Macaca mulatta: one gene and its partners. The protein of the gene in region 3 purifies or fractionates together with the protein of the main gene of each other region. This does not show direct contact. Links are inferred from orthologs where the notes say so. Each region holds a gene or a part of one and is shown on either strand. Other genes may lie near its edges.

The links. The genes of interacting proteins can lie anywhere in the genome.
Region 1: the proteins of TUBGCP2 (region 3) and MZT1 purify together in Homo sapiens (affinity purification with mass spectrometry; 4 studies listed by BioGRID and IntAct, counting the BioPlex papers as one, with this or other methods). This does not show direct contact. The link is inferred for Macaca mulatta from reciprocal best matches to the Homo sapiens genes TUBGCP2 and MZT1.
Region 2: the proteins of TUBGCP2 (region 3) and LGALS3BP purify together in Homo sapiens (affinity purification with mass spectrometry; 3 studies listed by BioGRID and IntAct, counting the BioPlex papers as one, with this or other methods). This does not show direct contact. The link is inferred for Macaca mulatta from reciprocal best matches to the Homo sapiens genes TUBGCP2 and LGALS3BP.

Annotation. Positions count from the first base shown.
Region 1 is NC_133422.1:67,478,376-67,486,040, forward strand, and holds the start of MZT1 (mitotic-spindle organizing protein 1), read right to left. Parts: upstream 5,109-7,665; 5' UTR 5,066-5,108; coding exon 4,987-5,065; intron 1-4,986. Other genes in the region: BORA (protein aurora borealis), read left to right, coding at 6,379-6,531. UniProt on the Homo sapiens protein: Required for the recruitment and the assembly of the gamma-tubulin ring complex (gTuRC) at the centrosome.
Region 2 is NC_133421.1:88,659,612-88,667,342, forward strand, and holds the start of LGALS3BP (galectin-3-binding protein), read right to left. Parts: upstream 5,109-7,731; 5' UTR 4,974-5,108; exon of another isoform or gene 4,949-4,973; intron 2,335-4,948; 5' UTR 2,309-2,334; coding exon 2,257-2,308; intron 1,302-2,256; coding exon 1,052-1,301; intron 206-1,051; coding exon 1-205.
Region 3 is NC_133414.1:145,381,553-145,388,787, forward strand, and holds part of TUBGCP2 (gamma-tubulin complex component 2), read right to left. Parts: intron 6,790-7,235; coding exon 6,609-6,789; intron 6,085-6,608; coding exon 5,904-6,084; intron 2,781-5,903; coding exon 2,608-2,780; intron 2,366-2,607; coding exon 2,237-2,365; intron 1,245-2,236; coding exon 1,124-1,244; intron 182-1,123; coding exon 38-181; intron 1-37. UniProt on the Homo sapiens protein: Component of the gamma-tubulin ring complex (gTuRC) which mediates microtubule nucleation.

The sequences.
Region 1 (7,665 bases), on a different chromosome or scaffold from region 3:
ACTCCCAGCTTCCGTGAGGCAGGGTAGCATGCTTTGTCAGGTTCTATTCCCGACAATTCCCTGTTGTGGTTCCCATGTGCTCCTTTCTTTTGGGGGAAACCTCTCTTTTCCTAATCAACGGGGACTTCCCTTCTTGCTTTTGAACAGGTCTATCCTGATACATTTTCTTACTATTTCCTATTATTTTTATATTCTTAGAGTTTCAGCAAGTGCTCAATCTACCATACTGAATCTTCACTTTATTTTTGACTGTCTTCATAAATGGATTCTACTTAGCCCTTGTACATTCTAAGTGGTTACCATCAGTATACTGGAACATTACATATTACACTTTTTAATCACCAGTCACCTTGATGAATTCTATGATGCTTCTAACAGTTTTTCAGTTGATTCTCTCCCTTCTCTGTCCAGTTTGTTCTCTTCATGGTAGACCCCCCACCTATAAAGGCTATGCTTATTCCTGACTTCACGCCTTTGTTCATGCTTTTCTCCTCTGCCTTTTCTCCTCCCTTCGTATAACTCAATGCTGTTTTCTTAGTTCATCTCATCTCCGGTATTTCTTCTTTAAGCCTTCTTTTCAAATGGACACCTATTTTTACTTCCTATTTTCACAAATCACCTGTAATCAAAAACTATTTCTTTAGTGCCCACTATATGATTAGTACAGGTTGAACACTCCTAATCCCAAAATCTGAAATGTGAAATGCTCCAAAATCCAAAACTTCTTAAGTACTGACATAACACCATAGTGGAAAATTCCACAGCTCATATAATGGATCAAAGTCAAAATGCAGGTGCTCAATACACAGCTCATCGGCATCCCTGAGGGAATAAAACAAAATTACCTTCAGGCTATGTGTATAAGGCATATATAAAACATAAATGAATTCTGTGTTTGGACTTGGGTCCCATCCCCAAGATATCTCATTATGTATGTGAAAATATTAAAAAAAAAAATCTGAAATCCAAAACATGTCCCAAGGTTTTTGGATGAGGGATAATCAACCTGCAACTGTATGTATTTTGTGCCTATTATGCTACTGCTGCAAATACAGTTACGAACAAGGTAGATATGGTCCCGGTCCTCACAGATATTAGTCCAGGAGGAGAGATAGACATTAAAGTAATAACTGATTCCAGATATAAGTAAAATAAAGAAAAAGAGTGGAATACTTCTGAAACAAATTACAAGGGCATCTTACCAAGTTTGGAAGGACACAGTGTTTAGCAAAGACTTGTCTGAAGAAGTTACAATTTCACTTAGACATCAAAGGTGAGAAGAAATCAACCAGACTAATACAGAGGCAGGAGGAAGGGTGATGGGTGAGAGCAAAGAAAACAGCTTGTGTGATGGTTCCTACACTAGAGGGAACTTAATAAATTCACAGACCTGAACTGCTATTGTGAAGGCAATGTAATTAATGGGGTGAATGGGTATAAAATATGAGATAAGTCCTAGTGAAGATCTTAGAACTGTGGAAAGCTATTGGAAGATATAAAATAGGAACATGAATAGATCAAATTTGCAATTTAAGGACTTTTTGGCTGAGTATCAAATGAATCTTTAAAAAGTCCAGTTATATCACAATTTTGATAAAAGACGGGTGGGTAGTATGATCAGGAGATATTTAGCCAACCTGAAATGAGTCAAGAATTGAAAGAGCTTAGTGAAGAACAGGAGGCAGAGGAGGTGAGAAAGCAAGACAGACTTCCAGATTTCTTTCTCAAATGTGCAACTGGATTGATGGTGGTAGCATGGACTACCTGTTTCTTTTGCTGGCACTGCCTTGCAGTGCTAGTCAAATGGAATATATATACCATAGATTCTCTTAACTCCTTTCTCTATAATGTGTTTCCTTTTTTTTTTTTTTTTTTTTTTGAGATGGAGTCTAGCTCTGTCACCCAGTCTGCAGTGCAGTGGCGCAATCTCGGCTCACGGCAACCTTTGCCTCCCAGGTTCAAGCGATTCTCCTGCCTCAGCCTCCCAAGCAGCTGGGAATACAGGTGCCTGAGCTTACTACTACAAATATATATACTACTATATATATATGCACACACTACTATATGTATGTATAGATATATATACTATATATGGTAGTGTATATGTATATAGTACTACTATATATATACTAAAGTACTGTATATATATAGTACTACTATATATATACTATATATAAGTACTAAAGTATAGTACTACTTTATATATATATTTAAAGTAGTGCTACAGGCCGGGCACAGTGGCTCAAGTCTATAATCCCAGCACTTTGGAAGGCCGAGGCGGGTGGATCACCTGAGGTGAGGAGTTCGAGACCAGCCTGGCCAACATGGTGAAACCCTGTGTCTACTAAAAATACAAAAATTAGCCAGGCATGGTGGCGGGCGCCTATAATCCCAGTTACTCCAGAGACTGAGGCAGGAGAATTGGGTCCTATCCCCAGCTTGAACCTGGGAGGCAGAGGTTGCAGTAAGCCAAGATCACGCCACTACACTCCAGCCAGACTCAGTCTCAAAAAAAAAAGTAAGTGTTATGATAAAGACTCTCGTAAGGAATAACTATCAAAATTAAAATTCAGATGCATAGGATGATTTGAGAGGAAAACAAAAATTAAAGTATAAAGCAATCAACAGAGAATACCTAACATATCAAAAAACTGAAAAGCAAAGGAGGCAACCATACACAGTGGGTTGGGCGGGGGGTGTTGTTGAAAAGGCACGACTATTTTAAGAGAATGCAGAATTTTAAGGATATAAGGATGAAAGCAAAGATCTCATGCAGACCGTATTCTAAATAGGCAGGGATAGTTCTTTTCAGAGTGAGCTACACAGATAACTGATTAATACAAAGTCAGCCTGCTGCCTCCCATGTCTTTAACAAAATCCTTCCATTTCATGATCAAAATGCAAATGTAGCCAAGAGTTCTGCAATTCATATGACTTAAAGGGGGGGTTCACAAATCCTGCCATTGAGAGGAGAAATGGTACTCAAAGTTTTGAAAATTTCACTTTTGATCTCATGGGTTGATTTAAATACTGTGAAACACCACATCCCCTCTCCTTCATTTTTTGTTTTACTTCACTTTTTCATGCTCTTATTCTCTCTATAATCTTCATTTTACACCAGGTTTTCTCAGAAAAGATCTTGATGATGTAGCCAACACAAATCATCAGTTCTCAATTGTACATCAGTGGTTCCACCAGAGAGAAAATGTGAGTTTTCTATTCAAATAGGATCCTACGACCATATACATAAGGAACCTAAGTACAGCTAACATAAGAAAACAGGCTAGAAGTGAGGTCTTTTACTCTACCTTTTTCCAAGGAAACATACAAGATAGTAAATTTTTATACACACAGACACACACACACACACACACACACACATACACATGCATAAATTCACTTACAAAATAAAACTAGTAAGTGTTGATACATCGAAAAGGATAGAAAAATAGGCTGAATATTAACATTCTCAGAAAAACAGCAAGGTAGATACTGAACAAGTGAAAAATTAGATGCAAAGTCTCTAAAAATGTTAATTCTTTGAAAAAGGAACGAGCAGCCAGTGCAGAAAAAGCCAGCAGCCCTTCTGCAGGGGCTATGTAAGAAAATGAGGCCGGGTGTGGTGGCTCACACCTGTAATCCTAGCACTTTGGGAGCCCAGGTGGGTGGATCACCTGAAGTCAAGAGTTCGAGACCAACCTGGCCAACATGGCGAAACTCCGTCTCTACTAAAAATAAAAAAAAAATTAGCCAGGTGTGGTAGCGGGCACCTGTAATACCAGCTACTCTGGAGGCTGAGGGTGGGAAGAGTTGCCTGAACACAGGAGGCGGAGGTTGCAGTGAGCTGAGGTTGCGCCACTGCACTCCAGCCTGGGCAACCACAGCATGACTCCATCTCAAAAAAAAAAAAAAAAAAAAAAGCCTACAGTGAAGGAGAAAGAGATACAGGAGTTAGAATTTCATAGGGTTATCTTTTAACAGAGAGGGAAGCTGACTTAAGTAGCCTCTGGAAAACGTCTAGGCCCACTGCAAATGACATTTAACATCGATCAAACACTCATAATACAGGTGGATGTGAGTAAAAAGGAGACAAAGGAGACTACAAGAGAGATGACATCGGAAATAATATAAAAATAATTGATCATCTTTGATATATTTTTACATGGTTGTCTTATTTAAATATTCACAACTCTTGGAGGCAGGATTTTATTTTAAACAAACAGGCTCAATGTTTAAGTATCTAGTCCAAGCTCACCACAGGGTTATAAAGTGGCATTAGAGAGTAGAGAGAAGGTAATCGGCAAGACACTAATTTCGTGTTCTGCAACGCTTGTGTAGGCTCCAGAGCTTGTGTAGGCTCCAGGGCCGAAAACAGGCGACACCCATAGCACTTGGGCACTGGCGTCACCCGCTTCAAGAGGAAACTAGGATAATTCTGACGAAGGGGGGAACTTAATCATTCGCAGGATATTAAAGGCCGCCTACTTAAGTGCGAAGAACACGAGGCATAGCGGTGACCAAACACCTGGCCCCTGTCCCCGCCAGGATCCCAACCTTGGGGATCCCAACCTTGGGGACCCCCGAAGCGCCCTGCGCGGGAATCCGGTGGGACGCGGCGCGCAGGAGGGAACGGGTGTACTGGGTGGGGTGGGCGTGGCGCTGTCACCGCAGGAGATCGGGCGGGTAGGGCGGACCTGGGACGCGGGATAGAAGGGGCGCGGCATTCGCGCGAGAAGGACGCGGTGCGCAACCGGCTGACTAGGGGGCCGCAACGTCTGGCGCGCGCGACAAACTACGCAGCGGCGGAGACAACTCTCAAGGGATAGGGCCATCAGTCCTGCGGCCCTGGCAGGTCCCTTCCAAAGATCTTCGAAGATGCCGTTTGGGGCACGAAGGGGACCTGAAGTCCTCCCCAGGCTCAGCTCCGCCTGGGGGCCTTGGCTCTGGGAAGGCAGGCAACGTAAAAGGAGCGCAACTGACACTCACCGTCCATGGTCTCCCGCACCGCATTCAGATTCGCCGCCGCGGCCGCCGCCGCCCCCCCAGCGCCGCTGCTACTCGCCATGGCTAAGGCCGAGGGAGGCGGGAGAAGGGCCTGACCCGGAACTGGAGCGCCTTCCTCTCTCCCGGGCAATCACACGGCGCGTCTCCGCTCACGCCGGGCAGGCTCCGCCCCTCGCGCTCGCCGCCGGCGTGAGGCTGCGTTGATTTGAATTTGGAGCCTCGTTCCTCTGCGCGGAACGTGGAGCCAGGAGTTGCTATTCGAATTTTCTACGCGGCCTCCGTGCAATTGGTTGGTTCGCGGATGGCGGGACGACGCGATTGGCCAGTCGCTCACAAGCCCCGTGCCCTGGTTGGCCCAAGACAGCGCGGAAGCGGGGAGTTAAAGAGTCTGTGCCTGACGTGGAAGCTGGCTTGGCCCCCGGGAGCTCCCTGTAGTCGGTATTGGGGGCTTCGTTTTCTACGCACCGGTAGGTAGGTTTTTTATGGTCCCTGACCTTTCCTCCTGTCCGAATGGAGAGGTTTCTTTTCCCAGCTCCTGACTTGCCTGCCCGCTGGCCCCTGGTGAATGGGAGCAGTCAGGGAGTAGGTGTGGAAGACAGGGGCACCAGAAAGAGTGGCCACGTAGGGTGGGGGGCGACGCCTCCTCGGCGCTCCGTCCGAGGAAGCCGGCTGCATCTCAACCTTACAGAAGTAGACTCTTCTCCACCCCACCCCGCCAAGTTGTAGCCTCCTTTGATTGGAAATAATGCAGAGTCGCTTTCTATCCTGGGAGGGGTGAGGGGGAGGTCTTGGCGAAAGGAGGATTTTTGGAGGAAAGGGGATTCAAGGCAGTTAATTTCCTAGCCCCTGTCAATCATACTTCTCTGGCTAGGACTCATGTGTAAGAAAGGCACAAGCTTCTGCATCTCTTACCTGCTTGCTACAAAGAATTGTTTAATAGCAACTGTAGTTGGATGGGGTATCCGAAGAATGTTCATAGTGTTGAGACGTGAGATGATGAATTTTAAAAAAATTGTAGCTATAAGTCCTTTAGTTGAGAAGAGATTTGTGCCTGTTGTAACCTTTAGATCTGAATTCATATTTGATTGCTGCGTATAAGCCACTTCACTTCTCTGAGCTTGTTAATTCTTTCACAGAATAATATCACTAATAACTTACTGCTATAGCTTTCAAGGTTATTTCGAGGATCAGTTGAGAACATTTATATGTGATACTTTTTTCATAAGCTGTATCATAGCCCCAAGAGTGTTAGGTTTTGAGTTGTTTTTGTGACACATTTGTCGAATACATTTTAATAGGTAAAATTAATATCTATGGGACTTTGTAATTTTAACATATGTACTCTTGATTTCTCTTTAGTTTTCTCTCTGTGCTATGGGAGATGTCAAGGAATCTAAAATGCAAATAACACCAGAAACTCCAGGAAGGATCCCTGTTTTAAATCCTTTTGAAAGTCCTAGTGATTATTCTAATCTCCATGAACAAACTCTCGCCAGTCCTTCTGTTTTTAAATCAACAAAATTACCAGTAAGTTATTCCTGACTAGTGTTTACAACTAATTTTAAATGTAAATAATTACAAATAATTTTAAATGTAAACATCTGTCTTTACAAGGTAAGGAGGAAATACATGATGGAGCATATATAACTGCAATGTACTTTTAAAAATTGTAGTGTTCATTATAATCTAGTGGTTAGGTTAATAAGTTAGCTAGAAGTTTTTTTTTTTTTTAAGTTCAAGAACAACATATGTTAGCTTCCTGCAGTTGTGGGTGTAGCTACATTCTGTGGTTGATGATATAGCTGCTAATACGTTAGAGAAGAAGCTGCATCATCTAATATTCTGTTCTCACTTACCTGGCAAACATTATTTGAGTGTTGCTATGTGTCAGATACAATGCTAAGCAGGGATTACGCTGTGAACAAGTTAGGATCATTAGGCACAAATCCTTAAGGAGGTTATACTCCAATGTAGGAGTCACAAACTTTCTGTTAGGGGCCAGACAGTAAATATTTAAGCTTTACTGATCATTTGATCTCTGTCACAACTACTCACTTCTGTCTTGAATCACAAAAGCAGCCATAGGCAATGTGTAAAGAGATAAATGTTACTCTGTTCCAATACAGCTTTATTTATGGACACATTTGAATTTCATATAATTTTCACATGTCACAAGATTTTTTTTTTGTTTTTTTCTCCAACCATTTAAAACTGTCAAAATAATTCTTAGCTTGCAATCTATTATAAAAAGAAACTAACCCCTATTTTAATGTGTTAGACTAGACTATTACTCATCTAATACTAGACGAGTAATATCAGGACAGTGTGATAGGTGATTAGTGCTTAGCACAATAGTAATATGAAGGAAAAGTGTTTTTCGGGATATTAGAAAAGGCTTCATCACTTTATCTTTTTTTTTTTTTTTTGGTAGAGATGGGATTTCACCATGTTGGCCAGGCTGATCTCGAACTCCTGGCCTCATGTGATCCACCCACCTCAGCCTCCCAAAGTGCTGGGATTACAGGCATGAGCCACCGTGCCCGGGTCACTTTATCTTATTTTACTGTTACTTGCTACACTGGATAAGTTCTTTTGACCTTGGATCTTTCAACCTACCAAGTTACTTAGAAAAACTGCAAATAGGGTGGCTGTTTCTGCTAC
Region 2 (7,731 bases), on a different chromosome or scaffold from region 3:
GTGCCTGCAGTTGCTCTTCAGCCAGCCCAGGGACTTGCAGTCAGCCAGCGAGGCCTCGGTTCCCATGCACTGGACCTCGTCCAGCATGATGGGGCCTGATCCTGTGGACACAGCAGATGGCAGGGCTGGGGGTGTGATGACTGCACCTAGGAGTCCCACAGCGAGACTCAGCCCTTTGTTCCGCGCCCCAGCCGTGCGGGTCCGTCTGCGTACAGGTCCTTCACCGGCGAACCACGGTGGATATTCCAGCAAGGGCTGGGTTTGTGATTGCAACGTCAGGCCATAAACTTAGCCTTCATGCTTACAAAGCTTACTGGCTCCTGCAGCAACATCACGTTCATGTACAGTAATTGCGTGCCTGTCCCTGCAACATCAGGCGCACATACTGTATTTGTGTGACTATCCCTGCTGCAAAATAGTTGGTGGATTGTTTCTCTTTTTTTTCCAGAATTGCAACTGCTGTGTTAGTGGAAATCTTCCTGCATACAGACTTTTCTTTTGAGGGGAAATTGTTTCAAGAGGATAAACTCCTGGAGTGGAGTTTCTGGGCCGGAGGGAACAAGCCCAGCCCAGCTCTTGAACCTGCCCAAGCACCTGCCACCGTCACCGGCCAAGTGTGGGTGACGCAGTCCCACCGGAACTTGATCCACAGGGCTTCAGCGCCATCAAAAGTGTTTGCTCTTAGGCCGGGTGTGGTCATCCCAGCACTTCGGGAGGCTGAGGCGGGCGGATCACTTGACACCAGAAGTTCAAGATCAACCTGGCCAACATGGTGAAACCCCTTCTCTACTAAAAAATACAAAAGTCAGCCGGGCATGGTGGCAAGTACCTGCAATCCCAGCTACTCAGAAGGCTGAGGCAGGAGAATCGCTTGAACTCAGGAGGCCGAGGTTGCAGTGAGCCGGGATCGTGCCACTACACTCCAGCCTGGGTGACAGAGCAAGACTCCGTTTAAAAAAAAAAATTGTTTGTTTGCTCTTGCTAAATTAATAGTAATCCAATTTGCATGTCTTTGAAACCTGACTGTCTCATCTTCGGGAATTTGCCCTGCCTGGGAGCTGGCTGTGCTGTGGGTCTCGGCTTTGGAGGACGGGGACAGCAGGCCCTACCTTGCCCGAAGGCAGCTCTGCCCAGAGCCTGGGTGGCGTTCTCAAAGCCCAGGGCCCGGCAGACGACGCTGGCATCAGTCAGGTCCCACAGGTTGTCACACACAGTGCCCCACTGGCCTCTGTAGAAGATCTCCACGCGGCCCTGGTTGGTGGCGCCCCCATCGGCCAGCCGCATGTCACCATCGTTCATGCCTGCAGGTAGAGACGAGCGAGGGCCAGGCTGGGGCCTGCGGCACCCACCGCCCGCACCTCCAGGACCCATGCTGTCCTGGGTCTCCCCTGCTGAGCTTCTTTTCCAGGGTTTCAAGGTCCCCTGGCCTCTCCATGAGGGAGGAGTGGAAGATACATACAGCCCCCTGCCCCACGGAGGCTAAACTCGCCTTTCCTTGTTTTAGGGGTCTCAGCCCTTCACTCCATAGACAGAACAGGGGCAGAGAAGCCCCAGGTTCTCAAGCACTGGGAATGGAGGTGGCAAGACCCCGGGGGAAGGATCGTGGGGGAATGGAGGCCCTGTGCTGACCCGCCCGAGGGTGTCTGCAGTTTGGGGGTGCTGGCCTGTGGGGGCGCAGGCCTAGGGACCCCTGGGAGCACAGGCGGAATGTTTCCAGGGCAGAGAATGGGATTCCCACTCCACACGTCCTTCTGGGACTCAGCCTGCCGACACTCCAGCCCCTATAGGAGCTGACAGAGCCGGGCAGGAGCTGGGTGCCTGAATCTAGCTGGGGGCACATCTGGCTTCCGTGGGGCCCCCAGGATGAGCGTGAGCCTCCAGGGGCTCACAGTGCAAAGGATGTGAGGAAAAGCAGCCAGGACCCTCTGGAAGATTGACCTGCGTCCGAGGCCGTTGACTTCACCACAGCCCCGGTGACTGCTGGTTTGACCAGCTCCTCTGGTTCCCTCTGGACAGAATGGAGGACTCCTTAGTGTCCTATCTATAACCTGCATCTCACCTGAGCCCAGGTGAGCCCCCTGGAACCTCCAAGCCACCATCACTTGGGATACCTGGTGCCGCAGGCAGGAGAGAAGACCTGGCTAACCGCTGGGCCCCGGGCCCCAGGCAGAGCATCTCCTTGAAGCTCTGCACAGACCCAGGCTGCAGCAGCCTCACAGACTTTTGCTTTTGGCATTTCCCAGGGGCTCAGCTCACCTTGGGTCCCTGCGACCAGCAACCACACCCAGAAGAGCCTCGGAGGGGCCATGGCGGTGCTTGGATGCCCAGATCCTGCTGCAGACAGAAGCGGCAGAGTGAGGCACGGGAGCCAGGTGGCCCGAAGCCCGGGGACCGGCCTGCCCATTAACCCTTCAGCCCGACCTGGGCTGTGTGGCAGGCGGGATCCCTCTCCTGCAGAGCCCACTGTGGTCCCAGTAAGTGTGATGGGTGCTATGGAAGCGCCCCACAGGGGCCCCTTCACCTGGTCTGCAGCATGCTCCTGGAAGGATGTGTAAGACTTGGCTAGATGAAGGGGTGGGCTGGGGGTACCCCCTGGCAGTTAAGGACAGCAAGAATCGGTGACTAGAGGCAAGTGAGCTCATCTCAAAAAACCAGGCCCCGGGCAAGGCCGCCACATGGGCATGGGCGGGGAGGGTGGAGAGGGAGGAGGCCATGGGCACAGGCCGAGGTCGGGAGGCCGGGTGAGCCTGGTTAAGATCTGGGCCTTAATCTTCAGGCAACAGACCCCCACAGGGACTGTCCCAGAGGCCTAAGCAGGCAAAGGCAGCCTGCAGAGTGGATGGGAGGGGACTCGTCAGGAGAGGCCACGGAGGCTGGGCCGGGGTGACAGATAAGCAGCAAGGAGACACATCGGGGCTCCATGGTGTTCGGATGGGGAAGATAGGGGAAAAGGGTCAGGGCTGCAGCCCAGGGTGGGCCATGCTGGGGGAAGAACGGGGAGGAAATGCTGAAGTATCCCCAAGACACTGACACTCAGGCTGCGGTTGGGGAGGTCCGGGTCTCCGCCTTCTGGCCTGGTGTTCTTGCCTCCGTGTAATTTCCACGCTTTTGTCTTCGCCTACCTCCCTCCCCCACACCCTGCCAATGGAGAGACAGGTATGGCTTCTCTGGCTCGGTAAGAATCCTGTGACACCTGACACTGTCCCCTCAGTTCAGCAAGCCAGGGGCAGGCCTCTGGGTGGCACTGCTGTGGGCACCGGCTGGGAGTCTGGGCCTGGTGACCTTGAGGCTGCTCAGAGGGGGCCTGGTGGACGGCTGCAATGGCATCGCCAGAGCTTGTTGGAAGTGCTGTCATGGCTGGCCTCGCCCTAGCCCCTCTGCATGGGAGTCTGCATGAACAAGCACCCTGGGAGCTGGGTGCCCTGGCTGGTGAGAGCTTTGCTCTGGGACTCACGCTCACTGGCACTGCGCAGCCACCCCTTATCAGGGCTCCCCAGGCACCACTGGAGGCCTTACCGTGACCTTGAGAACCACCTTAGTTACACCCCACCTTACAAGTGAAGAAGCTGACACCCAGAGAGGTAAATGGGCTCCACGTCCACAGCCATAGGCAGGGGGTCTGCTCGGTGGAGCCCACCTCTCCTCCCTGCGTCAATGTCAGTAGATGGCTAAAGACACCAGGGTGTGACTGCCTGTCCTGTGTGCTGGGGACTGTGCTTGTTTTAGCACTGAAGTTTCCCTGTGTCCTGGGAAACCCTCAGTCCCAGGCACGCCGGTATGGGTGGACGCCCTCTCCACTTCTGTCCCCAGCCACTTCACTCCGCTGCAGCCACCAGGTTTGTCCGTCCTGGGAGAGTAACTCAGGGCCTTGGAAAAATGGCCAAGTGGCCAGGCGCGATGGCTCACGCCTGTATCCTAGAACTTTGGGAGGCTGGGGCAGGTGTATCATTTGAGGTCAGGAGTTCGAGACCAGCCTGGCCAACATGGTGAAACCCCACCTCTACTAAAAATACAAAAGAAGAAGGAGAAGGAGAAGGAGAAGAAGGAGAAGAAGCTGGGCGTGGTGGTGCGCATCTGTAGTCCCAGCTACTCAGGAGGCTGAGGCAACAGAATTGCTTGAATCTGGCAGGCAGAGGTTGCAGTGAGCCATTGCACTACAGCCTGGGTGACAGAGCAAGACTCCGTCTCAAAAAAAAAAGCGGGCAACGAAGCACCTGGCAGGTGGCGTTCCGCCCTCTGGGTGGCAGCAGCTGGCGACTTTTGCCTGATTCCTTCATACGGGGAGTTGAGACCCGGCTGCCTGTGTTGGCCCCTTCATGCAAATCAGAAAAAAAGGTGCTCTTCCTAGGAGTGGGTGCAGGCCTAGGCCAAATGCACAGGCCCGAGAGAGGCCAACCTGGATTCTAACCCACTCGCCCTCTGGCTGGTATCCTCGTGCAGTGAGCCACCTGCCCAACTGCACACAGAGGTCCTGTGGGCCTGGGAGCAGCAATGACTGTTGCTGGGCTCAGGAGCCCTGGATCCCCAGCTCCAGGCCTATGTGCAAACAGGGAGGCATGACCCCCACTTGCCTGTGTAGAGAGAGGGGTGCCCTGGCCGGGCGCGATGGCTCACGCCCGTCATCCCAGCACTTTGGGAGGCCGAGGCGGGTAGATCACCAGAGGTCAGGAGTTTGAGACCAGGCTGGCCAACATGGCGAAACCCTGTCTCTACTAAAAATACAAAAATTAGCTGGACGTGGTGGTGCGTGCCTGTAATCCCAGCTACTTGGGAGGCTGAGGCAGGAGAATCGTTTGAACCCGGGAGGTGGAGGCTGCAGTGAGCTGAGATAGCATCACTGTACTCCAGCCTGAGTGACAGAGTGAGACCCTGTCACAAAAAACAAACAAACAAACAAAAAAAACAAAAAAAACAAAACAGAGAGAGAGAGAGAGAGAGAGGTGCCCACCTGGGAGCTGGAGGCAGCAGCTTACCTGGCTGGGGCAGCTGCGATGGCTGTGCTGCAGCCCCGTCACTTCCAGCCACAAGAGCCCTCTGCAGACTGTTCCTTTGACCCAGAAGCCTCTCCCAGGGTGGAGTGTGGTCAGGCTGATCCCAGGAAATGCTTCAGAAAAGTCTACTTTCGATTTCTAGAAACCACCTGACATCGATGTCTTCTGGGATTGGCTGCTGCGGATACTCCCCAGGGGCCCTCTCCTTCGTCTCAGCTCTGCCCGTGGGTATCAGTGCCGGGCTGGCAGAGGCCCAAGGCGGGAGTCTGGCTGGAGCAAGGCCCGCAAGAGGACTGACAGCCACACTCAGTCGGAAACGCCGCCAGGCTGGCCAGGGGCTGGTGTTTGGGGGACGGGAGGGGAAGCAGCAGAGGCTCTGGGCCCAGACAGTCTGCACCTGGTGCCGGGGCACAGAGCCTCTCTTGGTGACATAATGGCTCTGTCCAGCTCATAGCCATTCCCTTTCCTCCCACTGAAAGCCAGCGCCTCAATTGTCCCTTGAGGAGCACCCCCTCCCACTCCAGGCTGTGTGGTTCCCAGACGGCCCCCAGCTCTTGGCCTTCAACCACCCAAGGCCTGGGTGTCTGAGCCCTGCGGGGCCCCCCGGGCCACACTACTGGTTTCAGGGTGGGGCTGTGAGCCCAGCCAGCTGGTGAGAGCCGGCTTCCGACTGAGAGGATGTGGGCCCAGGCTGCTGGGGCCCATGGGACAGAGCAGAGGGAAGCAGGCATCCTCCGGCCTGAGCTCCTGGGTCCAACTGGCCTAATCAGTGGTCAAGCCTGGGCTTCACCTGCTCAGTGAGGCAATCAGCAGCCTCTTTTGTTTCTGTCACTTGCACTCCGTGATTCTGAACAAGCCTTGGGATGTGCCCAGGCCTCTGACCAGTGGTTCTCAGCCTGGACTGGACAGAAGAATCATCGGGGAGTTTTACAAACTCCTAATGCCCAGACCCAGGAAGTCACCATCTCCGGGAGTGGGGGACAGGCAGGGGCATTTCAAAAGCCCCCAGGCAGTCCCACCGGGTGGAAAGTCCTGGTTCCCTGGCAGCTCAGAGTCCGAGACAGCCAGCCCAGAGGTCAGAGATTCAATGACTATTTCCCTCAAGATGTGAGGGTATAGGCAGCTGCATGGTTTGCCTAATCCCCTCCAGAGGAGCTGTGAAGACCCAGGGGCAGATGCAGCTGGAAATAGAACTGGCATAGCAGGCTGTGGGGAGTTTAAAAAATCTCATCCGGATTAAGGGCCTCAGTGCACAGAAACCCCAGCTTCATCCCTTCTCAGCAGCGCTAATGACTTCTGCCCGAGTGGCCAGGGAAGCACAGGAGTGCCGAGGACAGGAAGGCACCTCTGAGAAGTGCTGGGAAATGTTTTAAAACTCAGATGCCGAATCTTTAGCCCCAGAGCCCGGGAAAGTCCTGAGCCATCCAGGCAGGTAAAATGGAAGACCCAGAGGCCTCCTTGTGGAATCAGAGCACCAGTATCTGCTCCCCTGGGGCTCACAAGGCCTTTCCGGTAGACGATGACCATGGGGTGGTGGGAAGCGCTGGCAGGGGACAGGCAGCGGACAGGCAGCTCAGTTCTGAGAAGACAGCTGGGTGAGAGCCTCAGATTCGTGTGGACAGAACTGCTGTCATCAGGAAGCCACTCCCAAGACATGGTGGGGAAAATGCTGGGCGTTTCAGAGATGAGAATGGTTAACTGGCCTGTAAGATCATCTTTTGTGCCTCTACCCCAAACCTCTCCGCAAATAGAGGAACACTCCCTATAAATAGCTAATATGGATTTCACCAGGCATTACTGTAAACCTTGCCACGAATGAACGCATTTAATACTTCCAGCCATGATGGGAAGCAGCTGCTCTTATGTTCCCTGTTACAGACGAGAAAACAGAGGCTCAACGAGGCAACGTAATTGGCTAAAATTGTGCAGCTGGAAAGGGAAAACCTGGGATTTCAAACGCATCCTTTTCTTCTTTTTAAAAATTGGCTTCGTTGGCATGTAATTTACCTGCAAAGTTTTGGCAAATGTGTAGCGATGGTATTGTGACAACAATCATTACCCAGGGCGTTTTAATCACTCCAGGAATTCTCGTATGCCTCTCTGCAGCCACCCCTCCCCCAGCCCCTTCCCAGCAACCACTTCTCAGCTTCTGCCACTGCTGGTTGCCTTTTCTAGAATTCCCTCTATTTTGTCTTCTTTTCTAAGACACACTCTCCCTCCATTGCCCAGGCTGGAGTGCAGTGGCATGATCTCGGCTCACTGCAACCTCTGCCTCCCAGGTTCACGCGATTCTCCTGCCTCAGTCTCCTGAGTAGCTGGGATTACAGGTGCGCCCATCACCACGCCCAGCTAATTTTTGTATTTTTAGTAGAGAAGGGGTTTCTCCACATTGGCCAGGCTGGCCTCAAACTTCTGACCTCAGGTGATCCACCTGCCTCTGCCTCCCAAATCGCTGGGATTACAGGCGTGAGGCACCACTCCTGGCCCCTAGAATTCCCTCTAAATGGAATTACACAGCATTTAATATTTTGCATGTGGCTTCTTTTACTTACCACAATGCTTTTGAGATCCATCCATGCTATCTCAACTGTCAATAACTGGCTCCTGGTTTTGCCGGGTAACGGCCCACTGTATGGACAGAACAGCACTGCTAATGCATATTTGCACTGATGGACATTGGGTCATTCCATCTTCTACTACTGTGCATAAAGCTGCTGGAAACATTTGGATACAAGTCTTT
Region 3 (7,235 bases):
GGTCTGCCCACCCAATGGTGCCGCCCACGCCACGCACCTGCATGCAGTTGGTGAACATGACGCACACAGACATGAGCTTGGAAAAGACCTTCAGCAGCTCAGGGTTGGTGAGCATGCAGTCCTTCAGGCAGGTGTCCAGGAAGCCCGTGTGGTGGCCAAGGACGTCATCGATGTTGGAGGCCTTTGGGGAACAGACCAAGCCCCTTCTCAGAAAGACGTGGCCGACAGACGGGCTTCGCGTGCGCACGTGCTCAGTTCGGGCTTTGCGCATTCCTGTTCACGCATTTCCACCTCTTAAATGGGCCTTGGGCTTTTAGGGGGAAAATTCCAAATACCACTAAAAAAATGATGGGCACGTCCCGAAGGGGTTTCAGTTCTTAAGGCAGAAGACAGGAAGGGAGGCTGCGGCTGCTTCTAGAATTTGGTAACAACAGAGTCTGCCTTCAGGCCCCTCAGCCTCAGATGCGCAGTGTGAAAGGGATGACCCTGGGGGCAATGACGGCTCAGAGTCCCCAGATGATGGCAGGCAGCAAGGGGTCCCCTGTGTGGCCAGCAATGCTGGGACAGCTCCGCCCCGGAGGGAACCCCTGCCTCTCCCCTCCCCCTGCCTCTCCCCTCCCCCTGCCTCTCCCCTCCCCCTGCCTCTCCCCTCCCCCTGCCTCTCCCCTCTCCCTGCCTCTCCCCTCCCCCTGCCTGTGCCCTCCCCCTGCCTCTCCCCTCCCCCTGCCTCTCCCCTCCCCCTGCCTCTCCCCTCCCCCTGCCTGTGCCCTCCCCCTGCCTCTCCCCTCCCCTGCCTCTCCTGCCCTCCCCCCGCCTCTCCCCTCCCCCTGCCTCTCCCCTCCCTCGCCTCTCCCCTCCCCCTGCCTCTCCCCTCCCCCTGCCTCTCCCCTCCCCTGCCTCTCCTGGCCTCCCCCTGCCTGTGCCCTCCCCCTGCCTCTCCCCTCCCCTGCCTCTCCTGCCCTCCCCCCACCTCTCCCCTCCCCCTGCCTCTCCCCTCCCTCGCCTCTCCCCTCCCCCTGCCTCTCCCCTCCCCTGCCTCTCCTGCCCTCCCTGTCTCCCTCACATTAATTATGTGAAAGGAAACTGGCTTTCAATTGTTACGATCTATGGAGCTAAAACTCACAGATTTCAGGTTTTTCTCCAGGATATGCCAGGTCGGTTCCATCACTTCGAACATCATGTAGTACTGAATGTTCTGGACGAAGTTAAGCATTCGCTGCCGCAATGTGAAAGCCCCGGCAAACCTGAGTGACACGGAGGACGGAGGACAGCCATGGAGGACGTGGCCCCGACGGCACCCAGTGGATGTGGCTGTTTCCTCTGCAAAACAGGTGCCTCTCCCAGTCCATCAGACGTGGCCGCTGCTCCTGTGTCTGCCCAGCACAAGCTGTCACTGTCTACCAACCTGTGCCCCGCAGGGACACCCCCAGCCAGCCGGACAGTGGAGACTGGGATGCGGGCTCCTTGGTGGACGGACTCCTTGGAGCCCCAGGAGCCCACACCAGGAAGGTGCCACACGGCAGATGCACATTTGTGCTTCATGACTGAGATGACGTCTTTTTCATCTAATTTTTTTTTTTGAAAGACAGGGTCTTGCTGTCGCCCAGGCTGCAGTGCAGTGGCTGGATCTTGGCTCACTGCAGCCTTGACTTCCTGGGCTCAAGCAATCCTCCCACCTTAGCCTCCTGAGTCGCCGGAACTACAGGCATTCCCAGCTCATTAAAACAATTTTCCATTTTTTTTTTTTTTTTTTAAGAGATGAGCTCTCATTACATTGTCCAGGCTGGTCTCAAACTCGTGGGCTCAAGCAATCCTCCCACCTCAGCTTCCCAAAGTGCTGAGATTACAGGCAGGAGCCACCGCACCCGACTGGACAAATTCTTAAGCAGCTCTGCCATCGACCCCTTTTTTCAACACCCTAGAGCCACAGACCAGCAGCAAAGCACCTCTGGTTCCAGCAAGATGTGGCTGCCCGCTCTCGGGAGGAGCTTCTGTCCTGCACACTGACCTGGGTGGTCTCCATGCCCGTGCAGTCACCACAAGGCTCCAGAGAGGGCTGAGGGACAGAGCCAGCATGCCCTGAGGGGTGGACGGCAGCGCCGCGCAGCCCCAAGACAGGAAAATGAAGCATTATGGATCTAAAGCTACAAACGTGCGCTTCCAGATGACGTTTCCAGAAGCCTAGAAAGCAGAGCTGTCTACCAGGAGGGCACACGGGGACAGAGGAGGAACGCACCACTGGGCGGAGGGCAGCGAGTGCTGCTTGGCGGTTTTGTTGCTGATCCAGACGCTGCAGAGCTGCCGCTCCACGTGCTTGCAGTAGAACATGTGCCTGAAGAGCATCTGGTAGCGAGTGAGGGCCTTCCTGCAAGAGAGGCAGTGGCACCTCAGGCGGGCCTCCATGACAGGTGGCATCGTGCACACGGTGTCTGTGCTCCACAGTCTGCACGGTGGCCCCCGGACAGCCCGTGAATCCCCCGGGCACTGAAGGCCGGGGACAGCCGCCTTGGGTCCTCTGTGGGACGAGGTGGCCACTGGGTGGCACAGTTCTCGCTTCTGCCAAACCTGAGTGAACACCTAGCGAGTGCCTGAGTGGCCGACCCGCACCTGTTGATGATGAGTGAAAGGGGCCACTTGACGATGTAGTCGAAAGAGAAGGCCTCCAGGCCACTCAGCGTCAGCTCTGTGGGGTCGGCGTGGGCCATCGCCTTCTCCTGCTTGGTCTCGATGGCCAGAACACGCAAGAGCTGAGTGATGAGGTCATGGGGCATCAGGTCGATCTTGGAGGGAAGGAAATGAAACAAAGCATCCTGTTTTAAGGAAAAGACGCGAAGTCCCATCCCGACACCATTCACGCTCACAGGCCCAGCACTGACATAAGGTTCCCTACATTCCGATTCTAAACCTCAGAGGCTTTTCGAAAACCCAAACGTCTACTGATAAATCAAATTCAAAACTGAACCACTTCCTATCAAAACAAAACAAGAGAAATTCAGATGAAGTACTTTGTAAATACCCAATGCTGCTGTGGATGGTGTAAGGGAAAAACGCTTGGGATGGTGAAAGAAAGGTGATTCCTTAGGACGGAAACCTTAGTACACGATAAGCACCAGGCCCAGGTTGAAAAATAAAGCATATTTAGGCCGGGCACGGTGGCTCAAGCCTGTAATCCCAGCACTTTGGGAGGCCGAGACGGGCGGCCACGAGGTCAGGAGATCGAGACCATCCTGGCTAACACGGTGAAACCCCGTCTCTACTAAAAATACAAAAAACTAGCCAGGCGAGGTGGTGGGCGCCTGTAGTCCCAGCTACTCGGGAGGCTGAGGCAGGAGAATGGCGTGAACCCGGGAGGCGGAGCTTGCAGTGAGCTGAGATCCGGCCACTGCACTCCAGCCTGGGCGACAAAGCGAGACTCCGTCTCAAAAAAAAAAAAAAAAAGAAAAAGAAAGCATATTTGATGAGGGATATACTAGTTATTATGGACAAGTAATACTGTCCTCACGTTAATCATTCAAGTACTTACTAAGTTCCAACTACCTGACAGAGTTCCTACAAAACCATCACACAACGACAGGACAGAAAATGAAGGGTAGAGGATAAAGCAAGAAGAAACAAGCAGCAGACGGACGAAATCGCCGACCATCAGGAACGTAGAAATGAACCCCTGATGTCACTTCTCCATGGAGCAGACAAGACGGGGGCTTTCGCAGGTGTGCAGACAGCAGCCCCCAGCTGTGTGGCCCAGCGTCCTGAGACCGAAGTCCACCAAGGTCAGCCTAGTTGTACAAGGGCCATATATTTTGACCCAACAATTAACATTCCTGCTCTAACAAGAGACCCCAAAATATCTGAAGCAAGAATAGACAGAACGACAGGAGAAAAACAGCTCTTCAGTGACAGGGAGACTCGGTGCCCTACTTCTAATCATGGAGAGAACCGCCCGACGGAAGATCAGTGAGGTAAGACAGGGCCTCAGGACCCCAACTGCAGAACACCCAACAGCGGCCGAAGGCACGTCCTCCTCCCGCGCGCACGGAACCAAGGGCGCCTCCTCCTCCCTCCCGCGCACACAGAACCAAGGGCGCCTCCTCCTCCCTCCCGCGCACGCAGAACCGAGGGCGCGTCCTCCTCCCTCCCGCGCACACGGAACCGAGGGCGCCTCCTCCTCCCGCGCACACGGAACCGAGGGCGCGTTCTCCCGTGCACACGGAACACTCTCCAGGATGGATGTGGGGCCACTACACAAATCAATACATTTCACAAAACTGAAGCCACACAGTCTGTTCTCTAACCACAAAGAGATAAAGCTAGAAACAAGTAACAGAAGGAAAACCAGAAAATTCACAAACGTGGAAGTTAAACATAAACCACCCACGGCTCCAACAAGAAATCAGAGGGAATCAGGAACACCTCCAGACAAACAGAAATGAGGACGCTGGGGGATCAGCGAAGGCCGCGCGCAGAGGGATGTTTACAGCTGTAAACTAACTTTGCAAATTAAGAAACTAAAAAAAGACCACACTAAGCCCCTAAGCAGCAGACAGAAAGAGTAACAAAGATGACAGAAGAGAGAAAACAGAAAAACAGTCCAAAAACCCAAGAGTTGGTTCTTTGAAAAGCTCAATGAAATCGACAAATTCCCAGCTACATCAGCTAAGATGAAAGAACATTCAAATTACTAAAATCAGAAAAAGTAGGGCTATAACTACCAGCCTCACAGAAATAAAAAGCCGAACTAGAATTCCATGAACTGTGCACCAGACGAGATGCGAGACGAACAGCCGACCAAGAGGAAAGGGACTGAGCAGACCTGTGGCCAGCAAGGGGCCAAGTCCGCCTCAAAAGCCTCCAACAAAGACAAGCCCAGGGCCCAAGGACTCCCAGGCAAACCCTGTCAAACGTCCAAGAATCCACACACTCCTGGGGAGGCAAAGGTGGAAGGATCACTCGAGCCCAGGGGTTCAACCAGCCTGGGCAACATAGTGAGACCCCCGACTCTATCAAAAACAAAAATTAACAAACAGAAAAAAAAAAAAAAAAAAAAAAAACGGCCAGGCGTGGTGGCTGACGCCTGTAATCCCAGCACTTTGGGAGGCCAAAGTGAGTGGATCACCTGAGGTCAGGAGTTCAAGACCAGCCTGCGAAACATGGTGAAACCCCCCCCCTTTTTTTTTTTGAGACGGAGTCTCACTTTGTCGCCCAGGCTGGAGTGCAGTGGCACGATCTCAGCTCACTGCAAGCTCTGTCCCCCGGGTTCACGCCGTTCACCGTGTTAGCCAGGATGGTGTCGATCTCCTGACCTTGTGATCCGCCGGTCTCGGCCTCCCAAAGTGCTGGAATTACAGGCATCCGCCACCACCCCCGGCTGAAACCCCTTCTCTACTAAAAATACAAAAACTAGCTGGGCATGGTGGCGCACACCTGTAATCCCAGCTACTTGTGGGGCTGAGGCAGGAGCATCGCTTGAACCCGGGAGGCGGAGGTTACAGGGAGCTGAGATCGCGCCACTGCACTCCAGCCTGGGTGACAAGAGCGAAACTCTGTCTCAAAAACAACAACAACAACAACAGAAAGACAAAAACAAAAAGAACACCACTCCTGAAACCCTTTCAAAAAGCAGGTGGAGGGACAGGTCCACACTCATTCCACAAGGCCAGCACAACCTGACACCCAGGCTGACAAGGGCACTGCGGGAAAACCCGAGACCTGCGCCCCTCGTGAGCACAGGTGCGAAGACCCCCGATCCCGGCAAGCAGCCCCCACAGCCGAGAGTGAAGGAAACAGACCCCGCGGCTGCCCCACCCGGGCGGGGAGTGGGGGACAGGGCTGGCCTCTGCTGCGCTCTCCTCCCAGCCCCTCCGAGGCCCCTGCCTGAGGTGGCAGCCCCCGGCGCCCCCGCCCACCTTGAGGTCGTCCTTGTAGGGGTCAGTGTTGGCCGTGCTCATGCGCAGGGCCAGCTCCAGCAGCGCCTCCAGGCGGGGGGGCGTGATGTCCTCCACCGGCTTCCGGAGCTCCTCCTCCGCCAGGTCCATGAAGTGCACGAAGAAGTCGCCCTGGTCCATGAGGAAGTAGCGCTTGATGGACCTGCGCCAGGGAGCAGGCGTGAGCACGTCCCACCCGCAGGTGCCCGCCACAGCCAGGGAGCAGGCGTGAGCACGTCCCACCCGCAGGTGCCCGCCACAGCCAGGGAGCAGGCGTGAGCACGTCCCACCCGCAGGTGCCCGCCACAGCCAGGGAGCAGGCGTGAGCACGTCCCACCTGCAGGTGCCCGCCACAGCCATCATGCTAAAACACACCACAACGGGCTAAGCGCTTGGCTCTCGGGCAGGGGCTGTGCGACCACCATGTAGGCTGTGGCAGGAAGAGCCGAGAAAGGGCTGGTGGGCCCTGGGCAAGGAAGGGAGCTGGGGCCCCTGGACAAGGTGACCCGGGGCCTACACCACCGACTGTGCGTGCCAGGTCCTTGAGCTAGAGACCATCTGGCAGTGCCCACTTTCAAAAAGACAAGGCAGAGCTGCCAGAAGAAACCCAGCGATCTCAGCCCCACGTCCCACAGGCTCCGGTTTGAGGGAGGCGAGCGCCCGCACAGGGACAGAGCAGGGAATCACCTGAGGTGTGCCACCAGTTCCTTCTCCTCCATCAGGAAGTCCAGCAGCACCTTGCTGGCATAGTTAAATGCCTTCTCGATCTGCTCCACGTACGCCCGCTCTTTTAACGTGTAGATGATCTCTTTAGCCACCGGGCAGGTGACGTCATGGCCACACTCTCTGACCACATTTAGATATTTTCCTGAAAACAGATAGAAATTAAAAGTTTTATTCTCCACATGGTCGATCTCAGGCCCTAGCTGTCTTCGTCTACACAGGAGGCAGTGGACTGGAAACTGGGCCGCATGAGGCGGCTCCACACCCTTGCTCCCTCCTGGTAAATCACGGTCAGCTGCTACAGACTGAGCGGGTGGCGTCAGGGCTTTGCTGTGGCTCTGCACATCTGGAATTTTCTAACCAAGGGCACAGAAATAATTTCGAAAAGGCATTATGAGAACCAGATGGCTAACCGCTTCCCAACCCTTTCGTGACGGCCCCGATGTGCCGAGTCCAACCCCGCACCGCTGCCCCGGGTCGAGGTCAGGCCCTAACCTGTGTGGTCAGAGACTGAAAACACTGCCGGCCAGCAGGCGCGTGTCTTTGATGGATTTTCCTGTCATGCTAATGGAGTTTTAGAAATCAGAAATG